Diceros bicornis minor: one gene and its partners. The main gene of each other region encodes a partner of the protein of the gene in region 4 in a complex. Links are inferred from orthologs where the notes say so. Each region holds a gene or a part of one and is shown on either strand. Other genes may lie near its edges.

The links.
Region 1: TMEM231 (region 4) and TMEM67 share a complex: the UniProt entries of both Homo sapiens proteins name them as parts of the tectonic-like complex. The link is inferred for Diceros bicornis minor from reciprocal best matches to the Homo sapiens genes TMEM231 and TMEM67.
Region 2: TMEM231 (region 4) and TCTN1 share a complex: the UniProt entries of both Homo sapiens proteins name them as parts of the tectonic-like complex. The link is inferred for Diceros bicornis minor from reciprocal best matches to the Homo sapiens genes TMEM231 and TCTN1.
Region 3: TMEM231 (region 4) and TMEM107 share a complex: the UniProt entries of both Homo sapiens proteins name them as parts of the tectonic-like complex. The link is inferred for Diceros bicornis minor from reciprocal best matches to the Homo sapiens genes TMEM231 and TMEM107.

Annotation. Positions count from the first base shown.
Region 1 is NC_080760.1:13,097,868-13,105,415, reverse strand, and holds the start of TMEM67 (meckelin), read right to left. Parts: upstream 3,018-7,548; coding exon 2,792-3,017; intron 2,778-2,791; exon of another isoform or gene 2,679-2,777; intron 1,194-2,678; coding exon 1,105-1,193; intron 75-1,104; coding exon 1-74. UniProt on the Homo sapiens protein: Required for ciliary structure and function. Part of the tectonic-like complex which is required for tissue-specific ciliogenesis and may regulate ciliary membrane composition.
Region 2 is NC_080774.1:9,091,812-9,099,209, forward strand, and holds the start of TCTN1 (tectonic-1), read left to right. Parts: upstream 1-4,391; 5' UTR 4,392-4,424; coding exon 4,425-4,644; intron 4,645-7,398. UniProt on the Homo sapiens protein: Component of the tectonic-like complex, a complex localized at the transition zone of primary cilia and acting as a barrier that prevents diffusion of transmembrane proteins between the cilia and plasma membranes.
Region 3 is NC_080757.1:10,232,253-10,239,637, forward strand, and holds TMEM107 (transmembrane protein 107), read left to right. Parts: upstream 1-4,634; 5' UTR 4,635-4,804; coding exon 4,805-4,891; intron 4,892-5,067; coding exon 5,068-5,135; intron 5,136-5,237; coding exon 5,238-5,338; intron 5,339-6,083; coding exon 6,084-6,180; intron 6,181-6,407; coding exon 6,408-6,477; 3' UTR 6,478-6,875; downstream 6,876-7,385. UniProt on the Homo sapiens protein: Plays a role in cilia formation and embryonic patterning. Requires for normal Sonic hedgehog (Shh) signaling in the neural tube and acts in combination with GLI2 and GLI3 to pattern ventral and intermediate neuronal cell types.
Region 4 is NC_080771.1:25,997,464-26,005,201, reverse strand, and holds the start of TMEM231 (transmembrane protein 231), read left to right. Parts: upstream 1-4,724; 5' UTR 4,725-4,826; coding exon 4,827-4,965; intron 4,966-5,071; coding exon 5,072-5,241; intron 5,242-6,406; coding exon 6,407-6,461; intron 6,462-6,705; coding exon 6,706-6,788; intron 6,789-7,738. UniProt on the Homo sapiens protein: Transmembrane component of the tectonic-like complex, a complex localized at the transition zone of primary cilia and acting as a barrier that prevents diffusion of transmembrane proteins between the cilia and plasma membranes.

The DNA of each region.
Region 1 (7,548 bases), on a different chromosome or scaffold from region 4:
CAGTGGCATTTGCCTTCTGTAGTTAAACCACTAGGGCAGGAAATGCAGTTCCAGCCATCTTGAGTAACACCTTTCTAAATTTAAAAAAAAAAAATTATTTTCTCCTTAACTGATTATATAAGTTCAAAAAGCCACAATAGTGTATAATTTGTAGTTAATATTCAAATAAATCATAAACATATGAGCCACATAAAAATTTCCTGGATAGCCAATTTGTACTTATATTTCCAAATGGAGCTATACATTATGACTATGTACTGACGACTATTAACTCTGGCCAATAATTCTTTCTTCTTCATGATTTTCAGTTCAAATGAGTCCTTACTTTCATAATTAATATTGTCATTGAGTTTTTCCATTTATAAAGATAAAACAACAAAATTCAACAAGATTTTATCAATAGATAGCCAATTAATAGGTTAGTCTTATTTGTTCTAAAATAATTATTCTAATTTTTAAAAATTCAAATACATTAGCTTTTAAAAATTGTTATGATTCAAAATGGGTGAATTTTATGGTATATAAATTATATGTAAATAAAGTTGTTAAAATTAAATTATGAGGATATTTCCTCCCATCCATTAATAGCTTGTATTAATAAAGGTTTTTGATAAAATATGACATCATTCAAAATGGGCTTATTATATTATATTGTTTAGGAAAAACCTGGGGAAAATACAGTAATTATAGTACAAACATGGATGTAACCAAAATTAACGGAGAACAATGGCAATAACAAAACAATGCCACAAATTATTTTAAATTTTGGTTGAAAAGACTGAATATGTTCATAATTAAATTCACTCATCTACTTTTCTTTATAACTGAGTTACTCTAAGAGGAAAAATAGACACAAATTTTCAAAGCTTTTTGGTTTTCTGGATTCCAGATTTTAAAAACCAAAGCAATACATTTCTGTTTTTTCTAAGTTTGCATAAAATTTCACTTATCTCCCAAAATCTATTCAAACAAAAACAAAGTCAGCTTAATAATTGTAAAGTTTGTGGGAAAATATTAGAGTACAGCATCTAGTCATAGTTTAAAAAATAAAGACATTTAATTTACTTTTTACAGTAAAATTATTTAAAAATAAATACTCCATACCATGTTTTCTGGGCACTTTTTACAAATAATATCAGGTCCTCCATTATTAGAGATCATCTGAAATCCTGGTAGACACACACATGAAGTTCCTAAAAAGAAAAGAGCCAACTTTGACCTTGGTAAATAAAAATAAAACTCCAAGATAGGGAAACTTGTAATAATTCTTAAGATCTTGAAAAGCAGCATAGTAGTTAAGAGCAAGACTCTGGAGCCAGTACTGCCTTGGTTCAAATGCAGAAACATACTCCTTGGGTTCTAATCTTGATTCTGCTACTTGGTTGCATAACCTTGAACAAGGTACTCAATTTCTCTGTGCCTGGGCTTCCACTTTGGCAAAATGAGGACAACAGTACCTACCTCACAGGGTTAGGATGAGTATTAGTTATGTATGCATATGTATTAGTGACATGTCAGTATGTAAAGGTCTTAGAATACATCTGGCACACAGTAGGCATTGTGCTTGCTACCATAATAACTAGACTATTAAATTACTGGATTAAACTAATAAACTATTGATTTATTGCTATGGGAAATTTTACCTTTCTATTTCACCCAATCATACACATATATTCAATGAATTCAAATTTACTTTGTCAGAACAAAACCGTATTAGGAAAGTTACCTTGATTAGAGTAAAAATCAGTTTTCCTCTGTTTGGACAGACAGTAAACATTATAAGATAATCACTATTCAACTTGCTGGGTAGGTAAGGACGGCATTTTCTAAGGAGGCATTAAGTGGAAACAGCACCCACAGGAATCTATGTAATAGAACGCACATGATATCTGGGTTCATAATGCTTTCTCATTCATATTTTCTCAGCTGCCGAGCCTGACCTGTCCTATACAATGAATTGCATGAGGATATATCACATTTGAAGATGGCAGAAAGTTAATACCACGGGTGACTAAATCAAGATTAAAAACATCTTAGACTTTAGAATACGGGAAAAGTCTTATTCTGAGCAGTGCAGGGAGGAGAACTAGGATCAAATGATGGACGTACCAAGAAAAAAAAATAAGCTTAATCTAAAGAGACTTTAAGAGCAATTAGAAATATTCAACAATAAAAGGGATAAGTCCTAAGGAAATCTATAATGTTAAGGACACACTATAGAGTGGAAATACAAAGTTGGAGACTGAGAGCAGAGAGACACTTCCAGAGTCCCCCAGTCCTAATTTAGGCGACACAGAAGACATTACAACATCATCTGGGCTTCAATTTCCTAATCTGTAAAATGAGATGACTGGACCTGATCATGGTTAAGGTCTCTTCCAGCTCTCAGTTCCTGGGATTTGAAAAGCAAGATGACGGGCTATTCAAGTTCACACGCGCTAATTTGCATTCCCTTCCCAACCTGTCCTGTCTCCCGCTCCTCTGCACCTCAGGTTACTCCTCCATTTCTTTTCTACCTTCGGGGGGCAGCTTTCCAGGTGCCTCTCTAAAGACCCCTCGGACGAGGAATGGGGGACTGGCGACGGCTCACAGGGTTGCGGGCTCGGGATTCCCCAACCTCATCACCGTGCAAGCTGCAATCCTCAAAGGGAACCCTTCTCTCAGGCGCCGGCGGTTACCTTTCCTGAAACATTCTTCCCGCAGATGAAACGGTGTTCCAGCGACGCCGGGGTCTGGGAGCAGCGCCAGGGCGGCAATGTTACTTTCCAGAGCCCACCCCAAACCGTCTCACCTCGGGAGTCCTGCCTCTGGTTGGCTCCACACGAGACACAGGAGAGCGCGGAGATATCGAAGTACTGGTTGTGGCCGCACGTCTCCGGCTGCCGGAAAGGTAAGGAGAAGGTCTGGGCCTGTGAGAGGCGAGGGAGGACCAACACGAGGAGCGCAGTCACAGCCGCGGGGGAAGAGGTGGACCAAGCCTCCATGGTCGCCGCGGTCCCACCGCCGCCCGTCACCATGGTGCAGACGCCGGCGGCGATCAGCCCCATCAGCCCCTGCGGCGAGTCCGCGGAGCCGATTGGACAACTCCCGGCCTGGGGTTCCGGAAGTATCTGCCTGCACTGCCTGGTTGCTAGGTTACCAAAGCCCGGAAGCTGCCTAGTCCGAGAAAGGATGGGTTGGAGGAAAGCTAACCCTGGATCCTGCAGGCGCGACCGGCTGTTTCAAAAGGTTGTTTCAAACTCTGGGACGCGACCCATTAGCGGGACGTGAAATCAATTTAGGAGGTCAAGAAATAGGATACCACAGCAAAGAAAATATCTGATTGTACCACAAAATTAAGAGTATTGTTTCATTAAACCGTTGAATGATGTTTACCTCAGAATTTATCCAGACTGGGTCGTGGTGAAGGAGACATTCCATCAATGTATTTGTCAAAATACATTTGTCAGGGGCCGCCCCGTAGCGCAAGAGGTTAAGTGCGCGCGCTCCGCTGCAACCCGGTTCCGATCCCTGAGTGTGCACGACACACCGCTTGTCAGGCCATGCTGTAGCGGCGTCCCATATAAAGTGGAGGAAGATGGGCACGGATGTTAGCCCAGGGCCAGTCTTCCTCAGCAAAAAGAGGAGGATTGGCAGATGTTAGCTCAGGGCTGATCTTCCTCACAAAAAACAAAACAAACAAAAAATACATTTGTCAAAAATGTGGGGAAAACACCTATTTGAAATATGCAATGCTGGAAGATTGGCTCAAGCACTAAAAAAAAGATCTTCCTGCCAGACCTTTCTTTGTGTTTCTACTTTCCTTGTTTTGAGGACAGGAAATAATGTATATAAAATGAAATAATCTTTACCCTACTTGTTAATAAAGAAGGAACCTAATTTTTTAAATCAAATTTACACATACATGAATTTTGTCTTTCAAAGTAGGCACCCTTGGAGGCTGTTAGCCCCAAAACATTTTAGAATTACCTTCAGAGCCAGTTTATAGATCATAAAAGAAAAAATATATATATATTTTTTTTTTTGTGAGGAAGATGGGCCCCTGAGCTAACATCTGCCAATCCTCCTCTTTTTTTTGCTGAGGAAAACTGGCCCTGGCCTAACATCCATGCCCATCTTCCTCCACTTTATATCGGACGCCGCCACAGCATGGCCTGACAGCAGTGCCTCGTTGCGGGCCTGGGATCCAAACTGGCGAACCCCGGGCCACCGCAGCCGAGTGTGCGCACTTAACCGCTTGCGCCACCAGGCCGGCCCAGAAAAAAATATTTCTTAATATTTAAATCTCACTTCTGTTTTTGTTGTATTTTGTTTGTTTGATTGTTGTTATTTTGTCCTCCTCTCCCCTTCCCAATAAAATCAGCCGGCATAATTTTAAGCCACTTTATTCATCAGTAGTAGCTTGAAATGACTTTTGGCTTTCTCAAAAAAACAAATTTTGGGGCTGGCCTGGTGGCACAAGCAGTTAAGTGCACGTGCTCCGCTGCGGGGGCCCGGGGTTCGCTGGTTCGGATCCCGGGCACGCACTGACGCACCACTTGCCAAGCCATGCTGTGGTGGCATCCCATGTAAAGTAGAGGAAGATGAGCATGGATGTCAGCCCAGGACCAGGCTTCCTCAGCAAAACAAAAGAGGAGGATTGGCAGATGTTAGCTCAGGGCTGATCTTCCTCACCAAAAAAAAAAAAAAAAAAACTGTAAAATAAATTTCCATTAAAAAAACAAATTTTGTAATAAAAATGATAATTTGTCACTATTAAGGAAAATACACACACACACACATAATATTCTCAATGCATGTGGAAAACACATTTAAGGAAGTTACATAACTTTAACCATTAGCTACCATTAGGCCTAGAGTTCCTCATGTGTCCTTCCCCAAAAAAACCAGCATTCACTTAGTCACTAATATCTATGACACAGGAGGTGTATGTTCTGCAAACTCTTCCTTAAAGAGGACTTCTAAAAAATGTTTTTGAGTAATTACCGTGTTGTTGGAGTGACTAATTTGAAGTGGAAACCACTTACCTGAAAACAATTTTGAAAAAACACGTGACTATACAAATGTTAATGGGGACTCAGAAACGGTGTGGTCAGAATAGTTGAGATTAATCTGCAAAAGCTTCCTACAGGCAAATTTTAACTTTAGTCTTCCTTAATGAAGTGCATACTGTTATATGCTCAGTGGAAGGGATTAGGGCAATAATATTTACTCATTGCCTACTATATAATTAAAGCAATAAAAGAGCTCCCATTCATGATGGTCTTCTTTGTGTCCCCCACTAAGCACTGTGCTAGGCACTTAACAGCATTAACCTTAACTCTTCATAATAACCCTTTGAGGGAATACTATCCATTTTTTTGTATCCTTTTACTAAAAAAGAAACTGAGGATCAAAAATGGTACATTTTAGGAAGTGGTGAAACTAGAATCTATCTCCACCTGGCCAACTCCATAACCTGTTATCGTTTCAATCTATTAAGTGGCTTCTTTGTGGAATAGATAGAGAAAAATTTTGGTATATTCTACATGTAGGACAAACCTACTGTCTTTAGTTAACAAGATGATATTGACATAATATACCACAGACAGCTGAATGATGGTTATCTGAGACCTTTGAGTGCTGCATCTAACAAAACTGCCTCAAAGAGCTAAATAGAGATTATTTGTAGCAGAAAGATTAAAATAGACACAGTTAAATTTGAGATAACTGTAGATACTATAGGTTTGTCTGTGTAAATTGCCTACAAGGATAGGAGAAAGAATGTTAGCTAAAGCTGTTAAGCATCAATTGGGACTGTATCATTAGGGATATTTTTGCTACAAGTAATAGAAGATCAGGTAGTTTAACCCAGTTCACAATGGCTTAAACAAAAATAAATATGAGAAGTCTGGAGGTAAGTGGCTGCTGGTGTTCGTTCAATGATGTCAGATAGTCATCTCTGCAGTTCTCTTGGCTTTTCCCTCTTAGTTGCAATATGAATGCCTTACACCAGATATCAAAATTCGGATTTAAGATGAGAAGAAGGAAAAGAGCTGAACTAGAGATGTTGCCTCTGTCTCTTTAATCAGGAAAGCAAATGTTGTCTCTATGCCATGTGTTGTGCTAAACTTCCTCCATGCATCATTTCAGTCTTTTTAACAACCCTATGAATAGGCAGTACGGTTATACCCATTTATCAGGCTTAAAGACATGCCCAGAGTCATCCAGCTGAAATGTGCAAGAGTTATACATAGAAGCGGATGTGACTAGGAGAACATGGTTTAATGTCAGCTTAGGAAGAAGGGTACCAAAAAAGGTGAGAAAGTGGGTTCAAAGAGGATATCAAACGCTTATTGAACACCTAGAATGAGATAGGTACTGTACCATGCCTTACCTACATTATCAAAATTAATCCACTCAACAACCTTATGAAACCTATAGTGTTGTTACCATCTTTTTATAGGTGATTGAATGGAAGCACGTAGAGATTTTTTAAAACCTGCGTCAAAGCACAGCTTGTAATTTACAGACACAAACTTTGAATCATGGTATTTTAACTCTTGGGGCTGCTTAACCACATGCCCCCTAACAGTACAAATGCTGCAAAAAAGTCAAGGAGGCTGAGGATGGAGAAAAAGTGTTTGGATTTGGCAACTAGGTGATCATTAGTTACCTTTTAGAGTGCAGTTTCATTACAGTGGTAGGAGTGGAAGCAAGCCATAGAGCAGTAGTGAGAAAGAACAAGCCCCAGATAGAGGCTACTCTGAGGAACTTGGCATTGAAAGGAAGGCAAAAGAAGGGACTGAGCTAAAAGAATTTTAATTTTTTTTTTTTTTTTTTTTTTTTAGGATAAGGAGAATATAAGTGGAAAGGAAAGGAGTAGTAGAAGAGAGATTCAAAATAAAGAGAGGAATAATTGACTCTCTCTTGAGCTCCTAGGAAGGGGTCAAGGACTAGGATGTAAGAGTGGGAGAAGGACCATCTCAGGGGAGGAGAGTCATTCTTTCACAGATTGGAAGAAAACAGGAAGATGAGTGAATCCATAAAGAAATCCTGGGCTGGGGAGCAAAGAAATAGAGCAAAATCAGTTTCCTGAGTAAAGAACATAGGTAAAAGTAGGAAATATTTTGAAAAGGCAGAGTGGATAATTGGAAGGGAAATCATTTAGTGATGAAAACTGACAGCAAGTCTAGATCTTGCCTTCAAGGCTAAATCCTGTTGGAGCAAGAGCAGATAGAGGACAGGCCAGGATATTTCTAGGGTTAAGGTGAACAGTTTGTGGAGAAGATGAGTGCAGTTTGGTTATGCTGAACATGAGTTGCCTACTTAGGTAGAGAGGTATAGTAGAAATGGATGTCAAGGTGTAGTGCTTGATGAAGAAGTTGGAACCAGAAATGGGAATCATCTTGAGTATTCCAACGACTATTGTGTTTTGAATCCCCAAGCTGAGTTAAGAGAGGCATAATTGTCTTGACATGAGTACAGCCATGTTTGGCCGCTCCATTGACCTACAGCCACCAGCACAAAAAGAAATATAAAAGCTGCTTTCTGTGTGGTGGGAACTGG
Region 2 (7,398 bases), on a different chromosome or scaffold from region 4:
CTCCGTTGTGGAATACTTGTCAGCAATAAAAAGGAATGGACTGAAATAAACTCTTGCATATATGGCCAAATGATTTTTGACAAGGGTTCCAAGACTACACAATGGGGAAAGGACAATCTATTCAACAAATGGTGTTGGGAAAACTGGATATCCACATGCAAAGATGGAAGTTGGATCCTTACCTCACATCATATACAAAAATTAACTCAAAATGGATTAGAGACCTAAACGTAAAGCCTAAAACTATTAAACTCCTAGAAGAAAATATAGGGGGAAAACTTTCAGACATTGGATTTGGCAATGATTTCTTGGATATGAGACCAAAAGCACAGGCAACAACAACAACCAAATAGACAAATGGGGCTAAATCAAACTCAAAAATTTCTGTGTGTCAAAGGAAACAATCAACAGAGTGAAAAGGCAACCTACGGAATGGGAGAAAATAGTTGCAAATCATGTATTTGATAAGGGGTTAATAGCCAGAATACATAAAGAACTTCTACAACTCAACAAGAAAAAACCAAATAACCCAATTAACAAATGGGCAAAGGGCTTGTATAGACACTTCTGCAAAGAAGATATACAAATGGCCAATAAGCATGGCAAAAGATGCTGAACATCACTAATATCAGGGAAATGCAAACCAAAACCACCATGAGATATCACCTTACCCCCATCAGGATGGCCATCACCAAAGAAGAGAAAATTACAAGTGTTGGCGAGAATGTGGAGAACTTGGAACTCTTATATACTGTTGGTGGGAATGTAAATGGTGCAGCCATCATGGAAAACAGTATAGAGTTCCCCAAAAAAATTTAAAATAGAATTACATGGGATCCAGCAATCCCACTTCTGGAATATATCCAAAAGAATTCAAAGCAGGATCTTGAAAAGATATTTGCACATCCATGTTCATAGCAGCATTATTCACAATAGTGAAGAAGTGGAAGCAACCCAAACGTCAATTAACATATGAATGGAAAAAGAAAATGTGATATATATATACATATACACACAATGGAATATTATGCAGCCTTAAAAAAGGAAATCCTGTTACATGCTACAACATGGATGAAAATTGAGGAAATTATGCTAAGTGAAATAAGCCAGTCATGAAAGGACAAATACTGGATGATTCTACTCACATGAAATATCTAAAATAGTCAAAATCATAGAAACAGAAAATAGAAAGGTGGTTACCAAGGGCTGAGGGGAGGGGATGGGAGAATTACTGTTTAGTGGGTATAGAGTTTCAGTGTTGCAAGATGAAAAAGTTCTAGAAATCTGTTGCACAACAATGTGAAAACACTTAACACTACTGATCTGTACACTTAAAAATGATTAAGATGGTAAGTTTAATGTTATGTGTTTTTTACCACAATAATAATAATAATAATAATAATAAAAAGAAATGGACCATTGATACACGCAACATGGATGTATCTCAAAGGCATTAGGCTAAGTGAAAGAAGCCAGGCTCAAAAGGCTGCATACTGTAGGATTCCACTGATGTGACATTCTGGAAAAAGGAGAACTATAGAGACAGAAGATAGATCAGTGTCCTCAGGGTCTGGAGTGGGAGGGGTTGGCTATGTAGAAACTTTTGAGGGTGGTAAAATTGTTCTATAGCTTGATTGTGGTTGTGGTTACATGACTGTATGTGTTTGTTACATACAGTCATAAAACTAGAACTGTACACCAAAAAAACTGTACATTGATGCATGAGAAAACCTGCACACCAAAAACCATATGCAAAATTATACTGTATATAAATTATCCCTCAATAAACCTGATTAAAAAGAAATGTGGAGTAAATATGCAAAATGTGCAGTGGACAGTGGTGTTCTTTTTTGTACCCTTCATTGTGAGTGAAATGTTTCAATCTGAAAATAATAAAAACAAAATTGATTCTTAAAAAGCCAACTGGTTTATTAGAACTGCAGTATGGTCCAATGATAGAATGTTAGTTTCAAGTTGTCTGGTAAACATGGAATTCTTATTTCATTCCTGTCAGTGTATATCTGTGATGGTATTTATTACTTCATTTTCAGAAAAGGTTAAACTTGTAAATTTGAGACTATTCAAGAATGTGTAGACTGCTCAAATAGCCCTTCTGCCCCCATAATGTTTCAGAAAACATTTGAAGAACAAGAAAAGTGCCTGGTGGTTGACCAGGCATATGGGGTTGGGAGGAGGAGAGAAGTTGAGGATTATTTTCTTCTGGGTGCTGATTGAGAAATCAATTACTGGACTGCTCCCTTCAGTCAAAACGATAGAGTCTATCCTTTGACCTCACACAGCCTCGATCTCTCTTCCCCGTAGTGCTAAGCAATTCCTTCATAAAGCTTGATGATTCTGCCTCCCTATTTGTAAAATATTTGGCTCAGATGAATAAAGATGGATGGATATACTTAATCATAGGAAAAAGTGGATACCTAATTTTAGACAGATTAGAAGCCACAACTTTAGCAATAATAAAAACAACAATAATAACCAATTCACCCCAAACCACACCAAACACTAAGACAGAGTGGTTAATGCTGCCTTGTAAAGTCAGCCTCGGCTATTTTTCCACCCAGCTACTCCTGTCTGTGGTTTTTCTGACTCCTCGTATGCGGCAGTTTCCAAGTGCAGAATTCCAAAAAGCTGAATTGTCTTGATTCCTCCCAGTGTTGGCGCAGACTATAAGGAATTGAGAATGCCAATAATCCTAGAAAAACAGATGGACATTTTAAATCACAAACATTTATGCACAAGCCAAATGCTGTGGTTTTGGAGAAAATATGGAAATAGATCTCAGCCCCGCCTCTTGTCCTTCCATCCTAATGAGGGAACCTACCAAGGCCAAGGGAGAAGAGAAAGAATCCCCTGGGTTGAAAGATGAAAAAAGGCTGGCAGAAATGGGTCACCTGTGAAATGAAAAGTTTCAATGTTCCCAAGGATTGCAAAATGGATCTGAGTTGATGCAACCCTCATTTCAACTTTGTAAGATGTCATAAAATTACTTTTGGGCCATCTACCGAGTGTTTGAGATTGGACAAAAAGGGGTGGTGAGATTATTTGCCAAACCATAAAGATGAAGATGTTAGAACCGAAGGGCACTTTATCAAGATTTGGTCCAACAGCCTAAAATTTCAAAACAGAAAACAGGACAAAGTGATTCACTGATATTAAGGAATACAAAAGAAAGTAGAGGCCTGGAAGATAAGAGAAGGTTTAAAAAATCAACAACAATCAGCCCTGGATTTAGAAGTTATGAAAGTTTGGGGAAAAAAAAAAAATATATTTTAAGGGAAGTGTTGTATCAGTTATTAAAAGTGGTCCAAAATTTCAATCAGACACTAAAGCAATCCTTTGGAGAAAAAAAATTTGGAAATATCTGTATTACACATTTGAGTGATCCAATTACACTTTAAAACATTTTCTCTGGAATGCCACAGGAAGATGCTAAAGATGTCACTTTGATGATTTAGCTTTGCTATATAAATTTAATAAATTAGGTATATATACTGTGGAAATGTGTTTCTTGAATAGATACCACGATATGTTCAAGTATTTTAACATCTACTTCTGAATTGTAAGGAGATGAACCGTCAAAGGTATAGCCAACATCCCTGAGTTGGAGTACCTTTATAAATAAGCCAGTTTAGAATGGAAGTGCTTCCCTAAGTCTTGTGGTCTCCGTGTCATTTTGTAGAGTTACAGATTTGCTTTGTTTTTTCTTTTTAAGATGTATAAATCATTCTACTTATTTTTTGTCAATGTTTTTGTGGGTAAAAAAGTTGTGTTCATTTGTCCCGCTTATCACAACACGGTGAACAGAAGTTGTCTGGCGATCTCCTGCGATGCATCTAAAACAAAAAAGGCAAAGCCAGCGTGGACAGGGTGTGGGAGACAGAAAATTCAAGGATGATGATGTGATCTCTGTGCTCCCGCAAAAGACCCTACTTAGTAGCTTTAGGAGAGCGGTTCCCAAATTTCTGTCCCCCGACTGTTGCGTCAAGACATTTGTTAAAAATATCAATTCCTGGACCCTGCTGTAGACTTATTGAATCAGAATCCCCTGAGATGTAATCTGCAAATCCGCACTTTTTAAACAAGCGCCGGAGGCCGCGGGGAAGCACAACACAATTTCACAAGCCGCTCGTCTCCACTGGACTCACACCGCCCCTCGTGTCCAGCCTCTCCCAGGCCCCGCCCCCTCCCGCCTCCCGCCTCCCGCCTCTCCCGCCTCCCGCCTCTCCCGCCTCCCGCCTCTCCCGCCTCCCGCCTCTCCCGCCCGCCTCTCCCAGGCCCCGCCCTCAGCTCCTGCCGTCTCGCGAGGTCTCGAGGGACTCTTCCCGTAATGCCCCGCGCCCGGCTGCCGCGGTTGCTTGGCAACGTCTGGTCCCCCTGGTGCTGGCTGCTCCGGGTTCGGCCAGGGGATGGGGCCGCGGGATCTCCCGCCGCTGTTGCTCGTGCTCCTGGACTGCTGGGCCTCTGGGAGCGCCCAGGCCGGGGCCACCTCCGCGGTGACGACGGAGGGCCTCAACTCTACGGAGGCAGCCCTGATGACTCTCCGACCTGCCTTGTCGCCTAGGCCTCCCGAGACCCCCAGGGCCCCTCGGCCCTCCTCTGGCCCCAGGCCCACCCCGGTTACGGACGGTGGGTACCAAGTGCCAACTCCTGGGGATCCACAGTAATCTAACCTGGAGGGAGGGTAGCCCGAGTGAGGATGTAATAATGATAGTTAACGTTTATTGAACACTTACTGTGTGCAGGCATTGCTAAGTGTTTCATAGGCATTCATTCTCTCAACAACCCTGCGAGGTAGATATTATTATCCCTGGCATACAGATGAGAAAACTGAGGCTCAGAGAGTGTAAGTGGGACAATATCAGATCTTTGAAAGTACTTGCAATGGTCCTGGACAACGTTAATGCTAAAAGTAATAATGAATGAATCCTTGCAGATTTGCAGCAGAAGACAAAATCGAAAGTTTCTAGACAGTTGTGGAAATGAAATGCATAGGATGCATCAGACTTTTCACTTACCAAAAAAAGAGATGCCAGAAGTCTAGCTTACAAAATGTGACTGGGTCAAGGCCCTTGCCTATTGACTTGAATTATGAAAACTCAGGATTCCTCCTGTGTTGAGTTGGAAGGGGAAGCTGTAGGGTAAGGGGTTATGCCCACTTCTTAGGATTCATCTTTAGGGATAATTAACATATTTCTCGGAAGGTGATCTAATCCTGGAGTTACACATTTAGTGAATATTTTATAATCTGATTTGAGATTGATGACTTCAGGAGATGTCTGTCTGTGACCCTGAGATTGAGTGCAAAATTTTGTGAATATGCATTTTTCTGGGGTGAGCGTTCATAGCAATCAGCAGTTTCTCAAAAGGATTTGTGATCTTAAAAATTCTAAGTCCACTGACTGTAACCTCAATAGGTATGCAGTATTTTTTATCCCTTCTTATGAGAAAAAGATCTTTTCTTTTTTTTAAAGATTCTATTTATTTATTTTCCCCCCAAAGCCCCAGTAGATAGTTGTATGTCACAGCTGCACATCCTTCTAGTTGCTGTATGTGGAACACGGCCTCAGCATGGCCGGAGAAGTGGTGCGTCGGTGCGCACCCGGGATCCGAACCCGAGCCCCCAGCAGCGGAGCGTGTGCACTTAACCGCTAAGCCACGGGGCCGGCACTCTTTTCTTAAATTGAGTATGGCTCAATATTAGTAAATAGAAAAGTCATCATTGGCTGACGTCCTGAGCTGTAGGACTTAACTTCAGTTACGGAACCATTATTTCTCCAGAGGGCCTCCTTTATAAATTATGAGTAGTCTGTAAGAAAAAGTACAGAGAAATATATTTTCTGTTTCAATATATGTAAACAAAACTCTGTTTTGTATTTAAACTGTTCATTTGATGAATTAGTAGGGAAGTTAAATCAATGATAAATTGGGACGGAATACGGCAGTGTAGTCAAGGCCCAAAATTCTCTAAGGTTTTTGGACTGTGTTGTCTTTTATCCATGTCAGTATTCATCTGTTAATCCACTTTCTCCCCAGAATGAAGCTATTCTTGAATCATCATTATTAGGGCATGTGTTCAGCGCTTTTTTTCCAGTATAGGGGATGAATTTTCACTTCATCTTTTTAAAGGAGCCCTCCTTAGACCTGTGAAAGTAATGATAATAAACGACAGCTGGCATTTATTAACTGCTTACTGTGTAGCAGGCACTGTGCTAAGCATTTCATCTGTGATGTATCTCATTTAATTCTCATAACAATCCTATGATGTGGGCTATCCCCATTTTTCAGGCAGGTGAATTACCTGCCTGATTTTAGCTCACACTCCTGGTACGTGTTGGAGCAGGAGGCTGGCTCTGCGTGGAGAACTGGACAGCCCTTTGTAGAATGGGTTACAGATGGAAGAGAAGAGTGATAACTTTCGTCTTGCATCAGCTCTGTTTCTGAGTGCCCTGCTCTGTGAGCCGGGCGTGCGGACATTGAAAGGTGTGGCAAAGCAGCTGAGTGCTACTTAGACCCTGCAAGTGCCCAACAGATACTTGTTGGCTGATTAAGTGCACTCGTATCCTGGATAGAGACCTTTTTTTCCCCTAAGTGGAGTTATTAAACACTATTGCTTTGTCCTTAGTAGTCTTATAGCTACCTACAAGGGTTTTAAGTTTGGAAAACAAATCAAGATTATAATTTTAAATGCATAAGACAGGGAGCCCGAACACTCTCTTTATTTTTTACTTTAGTGTGCGTTATTTTACTAAGCACATAGAGGAGTCCTTGGCTAGAGAGAAGCACGTAAACTTTTGTGTCTCAGACTAACAAAAGATTGTGTATTTATTGACAGAACCTTCCCTTCTTACACACTTCTTTCCAGAGTCTGTTATTGTACCTTTTTTGAGCTACATTTTTATTGTGAAATAATTCATACATGCAAATAAGAATCTTGTATGGACTCTCTACCAGCATTTGCTTGAAATCCTTTTTTGAAAAAAGAAAAAAATTACATTGGAGCGCTGATCTTATTCCCTCCAATTACTACCATGAGTTCAGTGTTTATCATTCTCATGCTCTGCTATTTCTTTAAAAGGGTTTCCCGCCCCCCTTTTGACAGAATAAAATAGGGAATTAAAAATCCAGATAGTCATCATCATTAAAAATTAAAAGTGCTAAGTAGGGAGGTTCCTACCCTTCTCCATGCTTTATTGTCTAAATTACCAAAGATATTTCTAGGACCCCAAGTACAGAGCACCTGAGCCGGTTTGATTCTTGGCCAGTAGCCTGTGAATGTGGGCTTAGCCTCAAAGCTGCAGGTGACGTCTGAGGAGAACAAGGTTGAGAACCCTGATTCCTGGCAGCCTTAAGTGGACCCTTCCCCTGAACCAGAGCCTCCAG
Region 3 (7,385 bases), on a different chromosome or scaffold from region 4:
TTTCCCCCGACTTTAAGGAACTTCATTTATTTGTTGCATTTATTTGTTGTGTTCTAGTAGGAAAGACACAATAAATGAGTAAAGTAATAAATCAAATGACTACACATTATAATGAGGACCAGTGAGAGGTAAGAGATTGTGGTGGTGAAGAGCTCAGATTCTCAAATCAGCCTGGATTTGAAGCCTGGTGTTATGAGTTACAGCCCATGTGTCCTCAGGCAGGTAAATATGTTACTCTTGCCTCAGTTTCCTTATCTGTGTCTAAATATCACCGAATTGTGTACTTCGCAAAAGTTAATTTTATGTTGTATAAATTTCACATAGAAAAGAAAAGAAACAACTCAGAGGCCAACTTCAAGAGGTTCCCACTGGCCCAAACTGAGATGATTTGAGCATTAAAAAGAATCACAACTGCAATGGACTGGAACACACAAAAGATGTTAAAATCTCCAAGTTCACAATGACACTAAAAACAACTAATTAGTCACTTTTGGAGGATGCTAGGGAACCGACTCATTCTGAAAACTGTTAGATAATGGGGAAAAAATACCACACATTTATCCAGGCTTTCCTGTGTGACCTGTATCTCATGGTAAACAACGAGTTGATGAGGGCATGGCCTCAGGTGCCCAGGTGATAAATGCAGAAGGAATGATAGAATTAGGACGTCCCAGTTCTCAACCTTTCATGAAATAATGGAGCTAGGCGGTGATGATCAATAAACCAGGAGGTGAAAAACTGATGGCGAACTTTATAATGGTTGCCTCAGTCTGACTACATCTGAACCTGCTGCTCAGATTTAACAACGGAAAAATAGGGACAAGCAGGCATTATGTGCATCCTGATGTGATGGAATGAGAAGTACCATGATGTATTTTTATCAGAAAATTGAACATGAGGCTGATCAACCACTAGGTCTAACAACCAGTTTACAGGAAATACTGGTCGCAGGGGAACATGTTAAACGACACAACTAGTACACAGCCCAAAACATCCCAGTGTCTTCAACAGATAAATTGCAAGAAAACAAGGAACGGGGAGGGACAAACAGTGAAAAAATAATATGTATGAGATTGGACAATTTGAACTATTTTGTGATGTCTGAGATTTGCTTCAAAATAACCTGGTGGGCCTAGGAGGAAGGAGTATAGCTGAAACAAGGTTGGCCATGTGTTGGTAATTGTTGAAGGAGAATGGTAGGCTTCAAAGGGGTTCATTATAGTATTTTCTTTATTTTTACATGTTTGAATTTTTCCATGATAAACATTTTTTTTTCTAAGTTGTTTTATGACCAGTTCAAATGTTAGGACATGTGGGTTCCAGCCCTGAAGCAAGTGGCCCGCTAGGGGACACCTGGTCACTGGCAGTGCTTCCTATGGCCACAGGGTGGCTCCAAAACTCACTTTTGTGAGACGTCTCTGTAGAGCAGGCTGCGGTGAACCAAGGTCACAGAAAATGACAGAACAGACCTAAATGCCTGTTGTTTATTAACTCACAATGTGAAATGTGACTACCCAGTTCTTACTATCTAGTAGGTCCCTTAGGCAGGAAGCCTACTATAAGCAGAATGCCCCAAACTTCCGGCTGCTGGAGCCCAAAATCTAACAGTTATCCTAGACCCTTCTCTTTTTCTCGCCCACCCACAGCCCCATGTCCAGACCTTCTTATCTTCTATCTCTTTTTTTTAAAAACATAAATTTATACTGCCTTCACCTATTTCTAACTATCTCTTGATTCCTTCCACTTTGCTCCTGTTTCTTGATTCCATCCTGGCCTGATTTCATCCTGTCCTTCCTGGAGAACTCGATGGCTTCTTTACTAGCCTTCTGCTTAAAATCTATTCTCCATGTTGCAACCAAAGTCATCTTCTAGAATACAAATCCGACCATGTCCCTGCCCATGGCTGCAAGGCCCAACATGATCTGACCCTTGCCTACCCATCCCACCTCACCCCGATCTCTTCTTCCCCTTCCATTACCACACTTCAGACACACTAGCTTCCTGTTCTTTCAACAAACACACTGGGCTTGTCCTCACGTAAGGACCTTTGCACTTGCTGTTTCTCTGCCTGGAATGCTCTTTCCCCAGATCTCCACATGGCTGACTCTTTCTCTTCTATTTGTTCCAAGGACCTTGGGAAGTCTTGCAAAAGCAAGGTCACGGGCTTTCCTCACTTGCACTCTATGACAGTGCTTCCTTCACCTGTGAACAGTTAGACTTGATAAACTGTCGCTGGGGGAGCTTGGCCCTGAAGACCTGGGCTTTCCATTCTCAGGAGAAAAGGCATGTAAGTTACAGGCAGAGAGAAGAAGAGTATGAGGAGCCCTTCAGTCCTTGCATCTTCTCTGTGTACTAAGAATGTCCCCACGCTTGCTACGCTGTGATTTCCATGTTGGAGAGCACGGGAAGCCCACCTCTCATTGTATTTCAGTGTCATCACTGTCACATCATTAATGAAGACGAGGGTCACCTCAAGGGAGAGAAGCAGTTGGGCCCACCGTACTTGATGGGTTTGCCCGTCCCTCCTGAGATGGGGGAAGTTTGAAAATATTTTCAGAACTTTGAAACAGTCCAGTTAAAGAGAGAACCTCCCCTACACAGCTGAGAGCTGAGAAACCAGTGTGGGTAATATTTGATTATCATCAAATATTTTTTGAGTGGAGAATAAAGAGACTTTGCTGAACCTCACACTTTATAAAAATAATTCCTCTGAGAAGTCTAAATGATTGCAATTTTTATTTTATGAGTTTTGGTGATCACATTGTCTCCATTGTGAGGAAAAAGCTGTGCTGCCCTCTAAAGAGGCGGTTTTATATGAACATGTTATTACATAGTGTTAATATATAGGAGGTCAACATTTAGGGACACTCAATCCTAGAAATCATTCCTTCTTTTTATACAGCAATTTAATGTCTCAATGATAATATTGTATAAGACCTGGAAGGAAAACTTTAAAAGGCTTATCATTTAACACTTTTTATTTTAAAATAATTTTATTTCTAGAAAAGTAGCAAAAATAATACAAAGAATTTCCCTGTGCATTCACTGAAAAGGCACATCATTGTCTTTGCTTTATCATTGTCTCTCTATCTCTACAGACGCATATATTTTTTCTAAACCATTTGAGAGTAAATTGCAGACATAATGCCCCTTTACCCCAAAACACTTCAGTGTGTATTTTCTAACAAGGACGTTCTCATCCATAAAGGCATTAGAATATCAAAAATCAGGAAGTTAACACTGATAACAAATACTATTATCTAAGCTAGAGACCTTATTCAAATTTTGCCAATTGTTCTACTAATATTCTTTAAAGTAAAAGTTTTTTTTCCCTAATCCAAGATCCACTAGGATCACACATTAAATTTCTCGTGTCAACTTTGTCACATCTTAATCTCCCTTAATCTGGAAGAGTTCTTCAGTCTTTGTCTTTCATGACCTTGAGGAAACATCTTTTGACTATCTCTTTGAATTCTGAATTTTTTCACCCACTGGTTTATAAAAAGGAAATCCATTTATTACACTGAGGGCCTGGAAGAGAGAAATGCATTTCCTCTCACTTTTGACCAAATTTCCTAAAACAAAGTTTTAGGGCAAATGACCCACTTCAAACAGCTTTTTCTTGATCATATTATTCTAGTGTTTCCCTTTTAAAATTTTATTTATGGCACCTATTACCATGCAGACGTATTGTTTGCATGTTTGCTGTCGATCTCCCTGACTAGAATATAAACCCCACGAAGGTAGAGACTTCTGTCAAGAACAAGAGCCCAGCACAGTGCCTGGCACTTACCAGCTGGTCAATAAATATCTGTTGAATGAATGAACGAATGAGTGAATGAATCAAGAAATCAGAAATGCCCCTTGGTCTTGTACTTTAGACCGTCCTAAAAGCACTGAGATGGAGAGTAGGGAGAAAGATGATCTTCTCCTAAGTGGACGGGGGGTCCCCGCGACTCCTGTGACTGTGAGCGATAAACGCGGCCGAGAACTTTCCGTTCTGCAGGGATCCCCTTTGAGGCCCAAAGGTCAGTTGTCTGGGGAGTCAGGTGGGGGGAATCAGAATCAAGGAAGGTTCAGGTCCGGGGTCCTCGGAGAACAAGGGGCTGCGTGACAATAAGTGATAGCTGGACCATCTAGGGACATCCATCTCTCCACGTTTAGTTCCCTTCGTCTCCTCTGGCCCAGGGCAGTGGGAAGCTAAAGGGATGCGGAGGAGAGAAAAGGAGAGAGTGTCCATGCCTTGGGCATGGCGGTGCCCTAAGCCCGGCGGGGCGGTGACATCGTCTCTGGTGAGCAACTCTTCCGCGGAGGGTCATCCTGGGCAACGTAGCGGGGGTCTGCGGCCGGGCCGCTCCTGGCGTGGGCATCCGGGGAGGAAGGGGTGTAGTGGGCTAGGGCAGGGCGGGTGTCCTTTCGCTCGCCCTGCGTGGGCAGGTTCGGCGGTGCGGGGCTGCGCCACATCGCGCACTCTCACGTGCAGACGGCTCGGCTGCGCGATGGGAGCCGGCCCGCGGTAGGCACCCGGCAGGGACCACCCGCTGCGGACCCCAAACCTACGCTCTCCAAGAGGTCCACGGCGGCTGGAGAATTTACTGCTCTCGCGAGATTTTCAGAGATCCGGCCGCGGCGCCCGCTTACGTGGTTGCCGAGGCAACTGGGCGGTGCCAGCGCGAGCGGGAAGGGGGCGTACGTCGAGTTTTTGTCTGCTAGCCTGCGAGACTTCAGGAGTGGCCATCCCTAAACTTCCAGCCCCTTGAGACCTCGGCTTCTGCTCCAGACGGTGCCTCTGCCCCTGGGGGCCATGGGCCGGATCTCAGGGCTCGTGCCCTCTCGGTTCCTGACGCTCCTGGCGCATCTGGTGGTCGTCATCACCTTATTCTGGTCCCGGGTAAGACCCACGGCCACCCTCTCCCGCCCCCATTCCCGCCTCGGGGTGGTCCCAACCCAACCCCGCTTCTTTCCCAGGGCCTTACCTGGTCGGGTCCTCCCGTGCCTCGCTGCCCCCAGGCCTGCCCCGCAGCCCGCCCCTTTTTCACTTCTCTTCCTCTCTGCCCTGCTCCCCAGGACAGCAACATCCAGGCCTGCCTGCCTCTCACGTTCACTCCCGAGGAGTACGAGAAGCAGGACATTCAGTGAGCACTTGGGGCGGGGTGGTCAGAATTAAGCAGTGGTGGGAGTGGAGGGGTCTTAGAAGAAGTCCAGAAGGCCTGAACCAACCCCTTTCCTCTCTGCAGGCTGGTGGCAGCGCTCTCTGTCACCCTGGGCCTCTTTGCAGTGGAGCTGGCCGGCTTCTTCTCAGGAGTTTCCATGTTCAACAGCACCCAGAGCCTCATCTGTATCCTTTCTGCCTGCGCACCTTTCCCACACTGTCCGTTTCCATCACAACTACCTTCAGCCACATAACTAGGCTTTTCTGGCACAATAGTGTCTGCCCTAGTGGACAGTCTCCCCAGTTGAGAGATCTCTTTAGGCAATGGAGAGTATTTAATACAATCTTTAGTCATTTGCCCCTGCTATGCACCAGGCACGGGAGATCCAAAAATGGGAGTAAAACACAGTTTTCTGCCTTGAGGAAGAGGCAGACACAGCCATCTGTAATTCAGTGCGATAAGCACTGTGCTGTGGGAGTGTGTAAAGATATAAAACATTATGGGAACTCAGAAGAAACAGAGGAAGTGAGAAAGATGGATCAGGGAAGGCTCTTGACACTTGAATTGTGGACCAGGAGGACCCGGATGCTGGAGGGTAGTTCCAGCAGAGCGTATCAAGTCACTGTGAGCATTCCTGTGTGGCCTGGGGGAGAGGAGGAGCCTACTCCTACCTCACCGGAAAGGTCCAGCCTGGCCTTTAGATATGGGGTGGGAGTAGCCTGGGTCTCAGCTGTGCAGGCTCACCTATGGCCTCTGCTCACGTGGCTGTCCTAAAACTCAGAAGGCAGGGCTACCGGCTCTGACCTTTGCAATGTGAGGAGGAAGCAAGAGGTGAACCTGAGTGCAGATGCCAGCCCCACCACTGGCCTTTTCTGGCCCATCAGTATCTATCGATCCATAGGCTTTCCTTGACTCTGGTGCGTTCTCAAGCCATGGGGGCTCACTGTAGTGCGTCTGTGGCCCTATCCTTTTTCATATTCGAGCGTTGGGAGTGCACCACGTACTGGTACATTTTTGTCTTCTGCAGGTACAGTAGCGTCCAATGTTTGGAGATGGGGGGGTGGAAGGTTTACTCTAAATCTGAAAGTTTCCCCCACCAGCGCTTTACTCCATATGTGAAATACCAGATCCACTCAACATCCTGTGGTCTTTTCAAGTCCCGCCCCACCTAGGCTTTGGGAGTGGGGTCTCTGGTTTGGGGATTTGGGTATTTTTATTGGAAGGGGCCCTGAATCCACCACCTGCCTTTCGCAGCGCCCTCCCAGCTGTCACTGAAATGGCATTATTCGTCAGCGTCTTTGGGCTGAAAAAGAAACCTTTCTGATCACCTTCATGATGGGAACGTAGAGATGAAGGCTGGAGGAGCAAGGCACCACTCACCGTTCCTGGAAGAAGGCAGGCGTAGGCTTCAGCGCTCCCACTGAAACTGCATTTGGTGGAAGATGTCAGTGTTAGTAGTGTTAAGGTAATTATCTCTCGCGTCTAGGCTTATCAAAGTTTAATTTAGCTCTTTGTAATAAAATATATTTTAGAGTAAGATCAAGACTTATAAAAATTTCAAAGGAGAATCGGGATGGCCAAACAACTGGAGAAACGGAAGGCTGTTTTCCAGCTTTGGAGACTGTAAGATAATAGGTATCGCTTTTATTTTGGTTATTACGGTAGCTGTCTGGCGAAGGGGGTGGGCGGAGATATGTAAATAAGTGGCGCGTACGACTAGGACTCCAAGCTCGTGAGTGAATGGAGCATTCTGGGAGGAATTAATTTATCCCTTTTGGCAGCCAAATGGAAAAAAAATTTATTTTAAAAGATCTGCAAATAAATGTTCCAACAGAAGTGGGGGAGCTTAAATAAACAGGTTGCTCAGGCTAACGCATTATATAGTCACCGTAGTTGTTAGCGGAATCTTTTTCCCTGAGTACGGAATGCCCTAGCGAAAGTTGGTTATCGTCAGGTAGGATAATCCTTACCTGTTCCCCCTTTTTGGGGGACAGATTAGAACATGATGATTGGAGTGCGCATGATTCGTGATTAGCGTCTCTGCGTGATCAGGACTTGCAACACCCTGATTACTCCTATCTGATTTTTCCTGACGATCGCCTTGTTTTATTTTTGTACTGATGGTTAGACTTGATTTGCTTAAACATGAGATGTGTGTTGAGCTTTTATCAGTAATGGATTACTTTGACTCAACTATTTTCCAATGTTGTTTGTTACTCGTCAATTTTGTCG
Region 4 (7,738 bases):
TCTTCCTAGCAGAGTCATCAGGGCAGTCTGCTCTGGGTCATCATCTGTTTATGAGATGGTAAATATGTAACAAGACTATTGACTTAATTGGGCACATGATCCTTGCCGCGTGCTTGTGATTCTGATGCAGCTGAAAGACCTGTATGTTTGAACATTGTCATTCATCATTTCCTACAGTTGAAATTCCTGATGGATGCTGTGGAATCTAGCTTCATTCTAAAGGTATCTTTGTTATTTTAAGATTGTGTGTCTGAGTAACCAAAATAGGTTTTTGTTTGCTTGTTTGTCTTTAATGAAGTGAAAAATCCTTTGAATTTTGTACCTAGAAATTATTGTTGTTGCATATAGGAGCACTGTTCTAGGTGTTCAGGAAAAGCAGTGAACAGAACAGACAACACCCATGTTCTGATGGAGTTTGCATTCTAGTTGGACAAGACAGAAAATAGGGGCCGGCCCCGTGGCTTAGCGGTTAGGTGCGCACGCTCCGCTACTGGCGGCCTGGGTTCGGATCCCGGCGCGCACCAGCGCACCGCTTCTCCGGCCATGCTGAGGCCGCGTCTCACGTACAGCAGCTGGAAGGATGTGCAACTATGACATACAACTATCTACTGGGGCTTTGGGGAGAAAAAGGGGGGGGGGGGGGAAGGAGGAGGATTGGCAATAGATGTTGGCTCAGGACCGGTCTTCCTCAGCAAAAAGAGGAGGATTGGCATGGATGTTAGCTCAGGGCTGATCTTCCTCACAAAAAAAAAAAAGACAGAAAATAGATATGTCGGGTAACGATAGGTGCTGTTTCAGGAAAATAAAGCAGGGTTGGAGACTAGAGTGATGGTGGGATAGAATGCTAATTAGGTAAAGTGGTTGGCATATTCTAGGAATAAGAAGGATCCACTTGTGGCTGGAGGCGAATGAGCAAGGAGGAATGTGTTAGGAGATGAGATCAAAGAGATCTAGAACAAAGCTGTGTGGCGCTTTGAATTCCATGTGAAGAAATTTGGATTTTATTTAGAATGAAATGAGAGTCAGTGGAGGGTTTTAAACAGAGGTGTGACATGATATGACTTTCCTTTTTAAGTGATCAGGTTAGCTTTTGTGTAGACAGTAGACTATAAGGGGTTGAGGATGGAAGCAAAGGGAACAGTTAAGAGCCTATTGTGATAATCCAGGTGAAGGATGATGTTGGCTTAAACCAAGATGGTGTCTGTGGAGGCAGTGGGAAGCAGTTGTGTTCTAGATATATTTTGAAGGTAGAGCAGACAAAATTTGCTGATAGATTGGATATGAGGTATGAGGGACAAGTCAAGTCAGGGTTTTTGAAAGGATGGAATTGCCATTTACTAAAATAGAGTGGAGCTAGCTTGAGGAGTGAGAATCAAGAGTTTGGTTTTGGATATATTAAGTATGAGATGCTCAAGAGACATATCCAAGTGAAGATGTAGAGTAGGTGAATGGATCTATGAGTCTCAGATTCAGAAGAGAAATACTGAAGCTATTGAACTGGATGAGATCAGCTAGAGAGTGAGTGAAAAAATGAAAATACCTTTTTTGCAAATAGAATTAAACACTGAGGGATGAAGATGGTTGTTCACCATCTGATTGTGAATCAGTGGAGGAGTTAGAATTGGACTGAAGATCCCTGCTTCCCTTTACAGAGCTGGTCATTGTGTCCTAGTCCAAGGCATGTGTACACCACCTTGCGCCTGGAAGAGCTTAGTACACTTCTCAGGGGAAAGATCCACCATTCACCCAATTGATAGTCGTGTCACCTGTTTCAATGATGTGCAATGTCTTTCTGTCTTCTATCTTTACCTACTTTCTTGATGTCTTTTTCCAGTTCACCATTCTAATTGGCTTCTCTGATCTGCCTTGATGATATGCATCACCTTCTTCGCCTATTGGGTCATTACATTTAGCTGATTGAATGTTCTAAGGACACTGGATGCCTTCCTTGAGGGGGTGGTTAGTTGAAGAGGTGAGTCAGGAGGAGAAATAGGATCATCAATATATGCAATGACACATTAACAGACTTATAACACACACAGAATAAATTTCAAATGTTGGAGAGGTGTGTGAACATGGATACTGAGGGATGGCTAGGGCAATGGGGGCTGACATAAAGCCAAGCAAGGCTTACCAAGAAAGACTTCACAGAGAATGTGAATCTTATGTTTCAGAAAGAAAAGTACATTTTCTAAAGGATAAACTTCCCTTAAAAGATAGAAACAGGGACAGGCCTGGTGGCATAGGGGTTAAGTTCGAGTATTCCACTTTGGGGGCCTGCCCCGGGGTTTGCTGGTTGGGATCCTGGGGGCGGACCTACTCACCACTCATCAAGCCATGCTGAGGCAGCGTCCCATATAGAAGAGCTACGACTCTATAACTATGATACACAACCATGTACTGGGGCTTTGGGGAGAAAAGAGAAAAAAGAGGAAGATTGGCAACAGATGTTAGCACAGGGCCAATCTTCCCTAAAAAAAAAAAAAGATAGAAACAAAGGCTGAAGTTGGAATGGGGAACTGGGAAGCCAAAGGTTCAGCAATATAGATAAATGCCAATGTGAAAAAAATGTTGCAAAGCCTTGAAGCAAAAATTCAGGAATTTTAAACTGATTCAAGAGACCCTGAATGGGAGCTTCTAGAAAGGGGTAAAACATGATTAAAATGTGTAGTTTTAAGAGAACAACTCTCTTTGATCTTGGAGGTAAATTGTATGAAACATGAGAAAATTATGGAAATGGAAACTGAGAAGTCAGTTCTCAGTCATGAATGTGTGAAAATGACACAATATACACAGATCTTTAGCATTTAAAAAAATCTAATATTCTCTTAAAGAATTGAAATAAAAACACAAAGACTAGCTTCCTCAAATCATGGAAACAGAGTAAATATTAGTATCTGTTTTTTTTTTTTTTTTAAGATTTTATTTATTTATTTATTTTCCCCCAAAGCCCCAGTAGATAGTTGTATGTCATAGCTGCACATCCTTCTAGTTGCTGTATGTGGGACGCCACCTCAGCATGGCCGGAGAAGCAGTGCGTCTGTGCGCCCCTGGGATCCCAACCCAGGCCGCCAGCAGCGGAGCACGTGCACTTAACCGCTAAGCCATGGGGCTGGCCCTTAGTATCTGTTATTATTAAATACTTTTGCAAAGCTCATGGCATCTCAGGGGAGGCTGAAGCACTTCATACACTTAAATTCTTTTTGTTTTGTTTTGTTTTTTTTTTTGTGAGGAGGACTAGCCCTGAGCTAACATCTGATGCCAATCCTCCCCTTTTTTTCTTGAGGAAGACTGACGCTGGGCTAACATCCGTGCCCATCTTCCTCTACTTTATATGGGCCGCCGCCACAGCATGGCTTGACAAGCGGCGCTTTGGTGCGCGCCCGGGATCCGAGCCTGCGAACCCCGGGCCGCTGCAGCAGAGGGCGCGCACTTAACTGCGGCGCCACCAGACCGGGCCCCAACACATACACCTAAATTCTTAGCAGTCACCTCCCTGTTTCAGCAGTGACCAAGTGACACTAGCTACAGTGTGTGTTTCCTGCTGAAAGAAGGACCTGTGGAGGGAAACACCTCCTTCCTCAGAGCCACCCTCACAATGCGATAGTAGAACCATTTATTCTAGAATCTTATTTTAATGGTTATTTAAATAAATGAAAGTCATCCACTAAACCATAGATAGAATATAATGTCAGAATCATAACATAGCTTTAAGCTAACAATTGCTGTATTTAAGAGCTGTGTTGCCATCCCAGAAAAGCTGTAAAGCAAGAATGAGTAGGACTAGACCAGATATGTCAAAAGCATCATATGGCCGATGACACTGTCACCTTGGACTATGGTAAGGGCCCTAGCTAGTTATCCCAAATGGGCAGATCCTGACCTCCCTCTGTCTGTGTTGTTAGGATCTCAGTTGTTCTCTTCATCTAAAAGCCACTTCTAGGTTGCCTTCAAAATAGGGGCATCAACTACTGGACTCCACTCTAAGCACAAACTTCACACTATCTCTTGGCACTGCAGTGTGATCCTTCAAGCCCTTTTGATGAAGAACTTGGCTGTGAACCATGGTTAAAAAAAAAAAAAATCCTTCTGCCATGCTCGAAATACTGGTTTGGGGGTTAGAAACATTCAATTAAGTGATAAGCCAATGTTATCTTTGGGGAGGACCATAGCTTCCTCTAAAACCAGTAGCCAGGCTTGTACCCAATACATGTAACAAAGTATAGCAGAGAGCTATGTAGTAATTATCCTTTATCCCACGAAGAGCTGCGAGATTTGTGTCCTGTTTCTATGTCTGTCCTACTATGGAGTAGAGTGAAAGCAACGAAACTTTGGAGACAAAGGGACCTGGTTTTTGTCTTATCCCAGGAACAGGTGGAGGATCACGGCCAGTTTATGTTCTGTGTGTTTTCCTCCCATGTAGGGTGTGCTGTGACTAGCTGGACTTAAGTATGAACCACATTGTGGATTAACAGATAACATACAAGCAGCTATTTACTGTAAGGCAACTTTTATGAAAATCTTCTTTTACACAAGTGTTAACACGGGCGGTGGCTATGATTTTGGTGCACGCAAACATTCTACCTCCACCCAGCCTTTGGAGAAACGCACGCAACGCGTAAAGCGGGTCGAGCGTCCACCAGCCCGCATCGCCCCCGTCAGCCCCGCCCCTACGGTGGCCCCGCTTCCTTGCTATTGGTTCCTTTCCCTGCGCCGTCGGTTGCCGTGGAGACCACAGCTATGGCAACTAGGAGAAGCCAAACTTAGTCGTTCCTCTCGAACCGCGGAGGGGTCCCGGGCGTGCGGCGCTAGTCCGCGCGGAGCTCATGGCGCTCTACGAGCTCTACTCTCACCCGGCCGAGCGCGGCTACCGCGCGGGGCTCTGCTCCAAGGCCGCGGTGTTCCTGCTGCTGGCCGCCGTGCTCACGTACATCCCGCCGCTGCTGGTGGCCTTCCGGAGCCACGGTGAGCCTGCCCCCGGCCGGTGCGCAGCACAGCCCCTGCGGCCCGCGGCGCCCCGGCCGGCCTTCCTGACTTCCTCCCTACCGCCCTCCCGCCTTCTTTACCTCAGGGTTCTGGCTGAAGCGGAGCAGCTACGAGGAGCAGCCGACCGTGCGCTTCCAGCACCAGGTGCTGCTCGTAGCCCTGCTAGGATCCGAGCGCGGCGGCTTTCTCGCGTGGAGCACGTTCCCCGCCTTCAACCGGCTGCAGGGGGATCACCTGCGCGTCCCGCTCGTTTCGGTGCGTGATTCCTGCCCTTTTCTAGCCCCCCCACCCCGGGGACTGGGCGGTGGTGGCGGTGGGAGGGAGGTAGCGAGCTGCCCGGCCTGAGCCCCCGGGGAGCCCAGCGTGGATCTTAAGGGTTCGCGAACCCATGGAGGTTGTGTGCACAGGCTCATTGGCCTAAGCCTATTTACTGGCCTCTTTTACTGGTTTAATTTACTGAGAGGTAAATTTCTCGTTTCATTCGACTTCTCCAAGCCGTCTCCAACCCCAAGAAGGTTAGCCACTGCTGTCAGCGTCTGCGTCCTGACAGAGTGCAGAAGCCTGGGGACAGCCTGTCGCTGGCCCCGTCCTTTCCGGGCCTGGCCTCATGGAAGGGTGGTCGGGAAAGTTCGTGGGTCATGAAGGCCGAGCAGTGTTCCTGTTGTAACCCCATCATGTCGCTGCAGTTGTGCATCGCACCACGGTGGGAACGCAAAGGGTAGGCGTTTTTATGAAGACTTGACACATGGAAGCCAAGGCGGTGATTGGTTCAGCGACCTCCCCAGAAAGTCGGGCTGGCCTAGTCCCTGAGCTTGTACCTTTAGATGCTGCTCCATCCTGCAGCTGTCTGGGATGAAAATGAAGCATTTTACTATTTGTAATTTAGTCTTTGGTTCAGGATAAGTGAGTGCTTCCTTGACAATCACCCCTTTCCGCACATTTTCTGAAAACGTTTTGCTTTGGAAGTATGAAAATTCTGGTTTTCCTTCTTCCAAAGTTGAATCTCTTTACACATCTCTGAGCTGATTGGCCTACAAGCCAGACTTGTGCAGCTGAAAACAAAAATTCAGACTTTTTTCTAGCAGCTAAATGAAATGAAAAAAAGTTTTAAACCTTATTGTTATATGAATAACTACAAACAAAATATGATTCAGATTACTTTTTTTCTGGTTACTTTACGTTTTCTTATATTTTTTTTCTGATTATAAAAATGCATGCTCATTGTAAAATATGAAAAAGTTACAGGTATACAGAAAGGCATAAAATTAAAGGCTTAGTTTGGTACATGAATCAATACTTGTTAATTAACCTTATTCTTTTTAAGGTCTGCAAAGTATTTCATAATATAGAAAAACCATGATGGATTTAACCACTTCCCCATTGGTGGATATTTGATTTGCTTTTACTTTTTCACTATTAGAATATTGCAGTGAGTAAGATTTTGAATTGGAATGGAAGCTGTTGGTTGAAATTGTGTAAGTACATGGAAAACTAAGCAAGCAAATAAAACAGTAACTCCAGAGAAAGAAAAAGTAAGGAACAGTGAGAAAGGAAAAGTAATCAGAGTTGTGAATGGTATTTACGTAGTCATAATTATATGAACACTGAGTATTGACTAACCAAAAGAATGGGAAGGGTGTGTGTGTGTGGGTGTGGGTGGTGGGGGCTGGTGGGAGGTGAGGGGAAGAAAACTAAATCTTCATCTTTCCTTGTGGGAAGTCAATAGAGAATGCCTGAAACTGAGAAATCGAGAAGTGCCAATTCAAATGTTAAAACATGGAGATACGTTTCTAAATAATGAGGTAAATGAGATGAAAATATTTGTTATGGGAGTGGAAGTCTGTTTTTCTAACAAATATGGTTGAACACTTTGATTCTTTAAATGCTTAGGTCTTTTAAATTGATTTTAAAAATAGAACTGGAGTAGGAGACATTTCTTTCAGTAGCTCCTCACTAATCATGACATGTTGCCCATTTTTATTATTTGAGATTATAATGCCTCTTGGGAAGGGTGACTGGATGAGAGGCCAGTGTTGAGGTATGCTTACTTTTCATTGTGTACCCAGTGTACTTCTGGTGTTCCATGTGCGTGTGTTTCATTTCCAAAAATGGAAACAAAGGATTTTTTATTCCAAATAAAAAATTAACTTGTTTGGTTTACTTTAGGTTAGCAGTCCCTGTCTTAAATTTTTTTCTTTACATTTGTATATTCCTCTCTATCCTATTCTTCTGGTTACTTGAGTCTAAGAAATAATCATGAAAATGTAAAATAATCATGAAAACAGGGATATAGCGTTAGGTTTCGTTCATTCGTTCTTTTCACTTGTTCATCCACCACAAGTGGTTGGCTCCCCGGTTGGACCGCTGTGTTAGCCTCTTATCTCGGTAACCAGAAACTGCTCCCTTGAGAGCATTGCCCATGTTCCCCCTGCTTCTGGTGTGTGTGAATTCCGATTTTAAATCTACAAAGCCAAGACTACCTCTTTTTTTTTTTTGGTGCCCAGAACCGTTAATCCTTTCATACTGGGTAATTTTTGTAAGACACAAAACCAAAGCTCCTTTTTCTTAGTTTTTTACCCCTTCATTCTAGGCCAGTGCCTATAAGTAATTTATGGCCTTGTTATCTACAGTCTTTCTCAATAAATGCTTTGCTTCCTTCCTACCTGAGCTCTTGGTTTGAGAATAGTTTGAAATCATGAGATACAAGAAATGAGAAGACAGTGGAAGTACAGACCTCAACAGCAAACCAAAA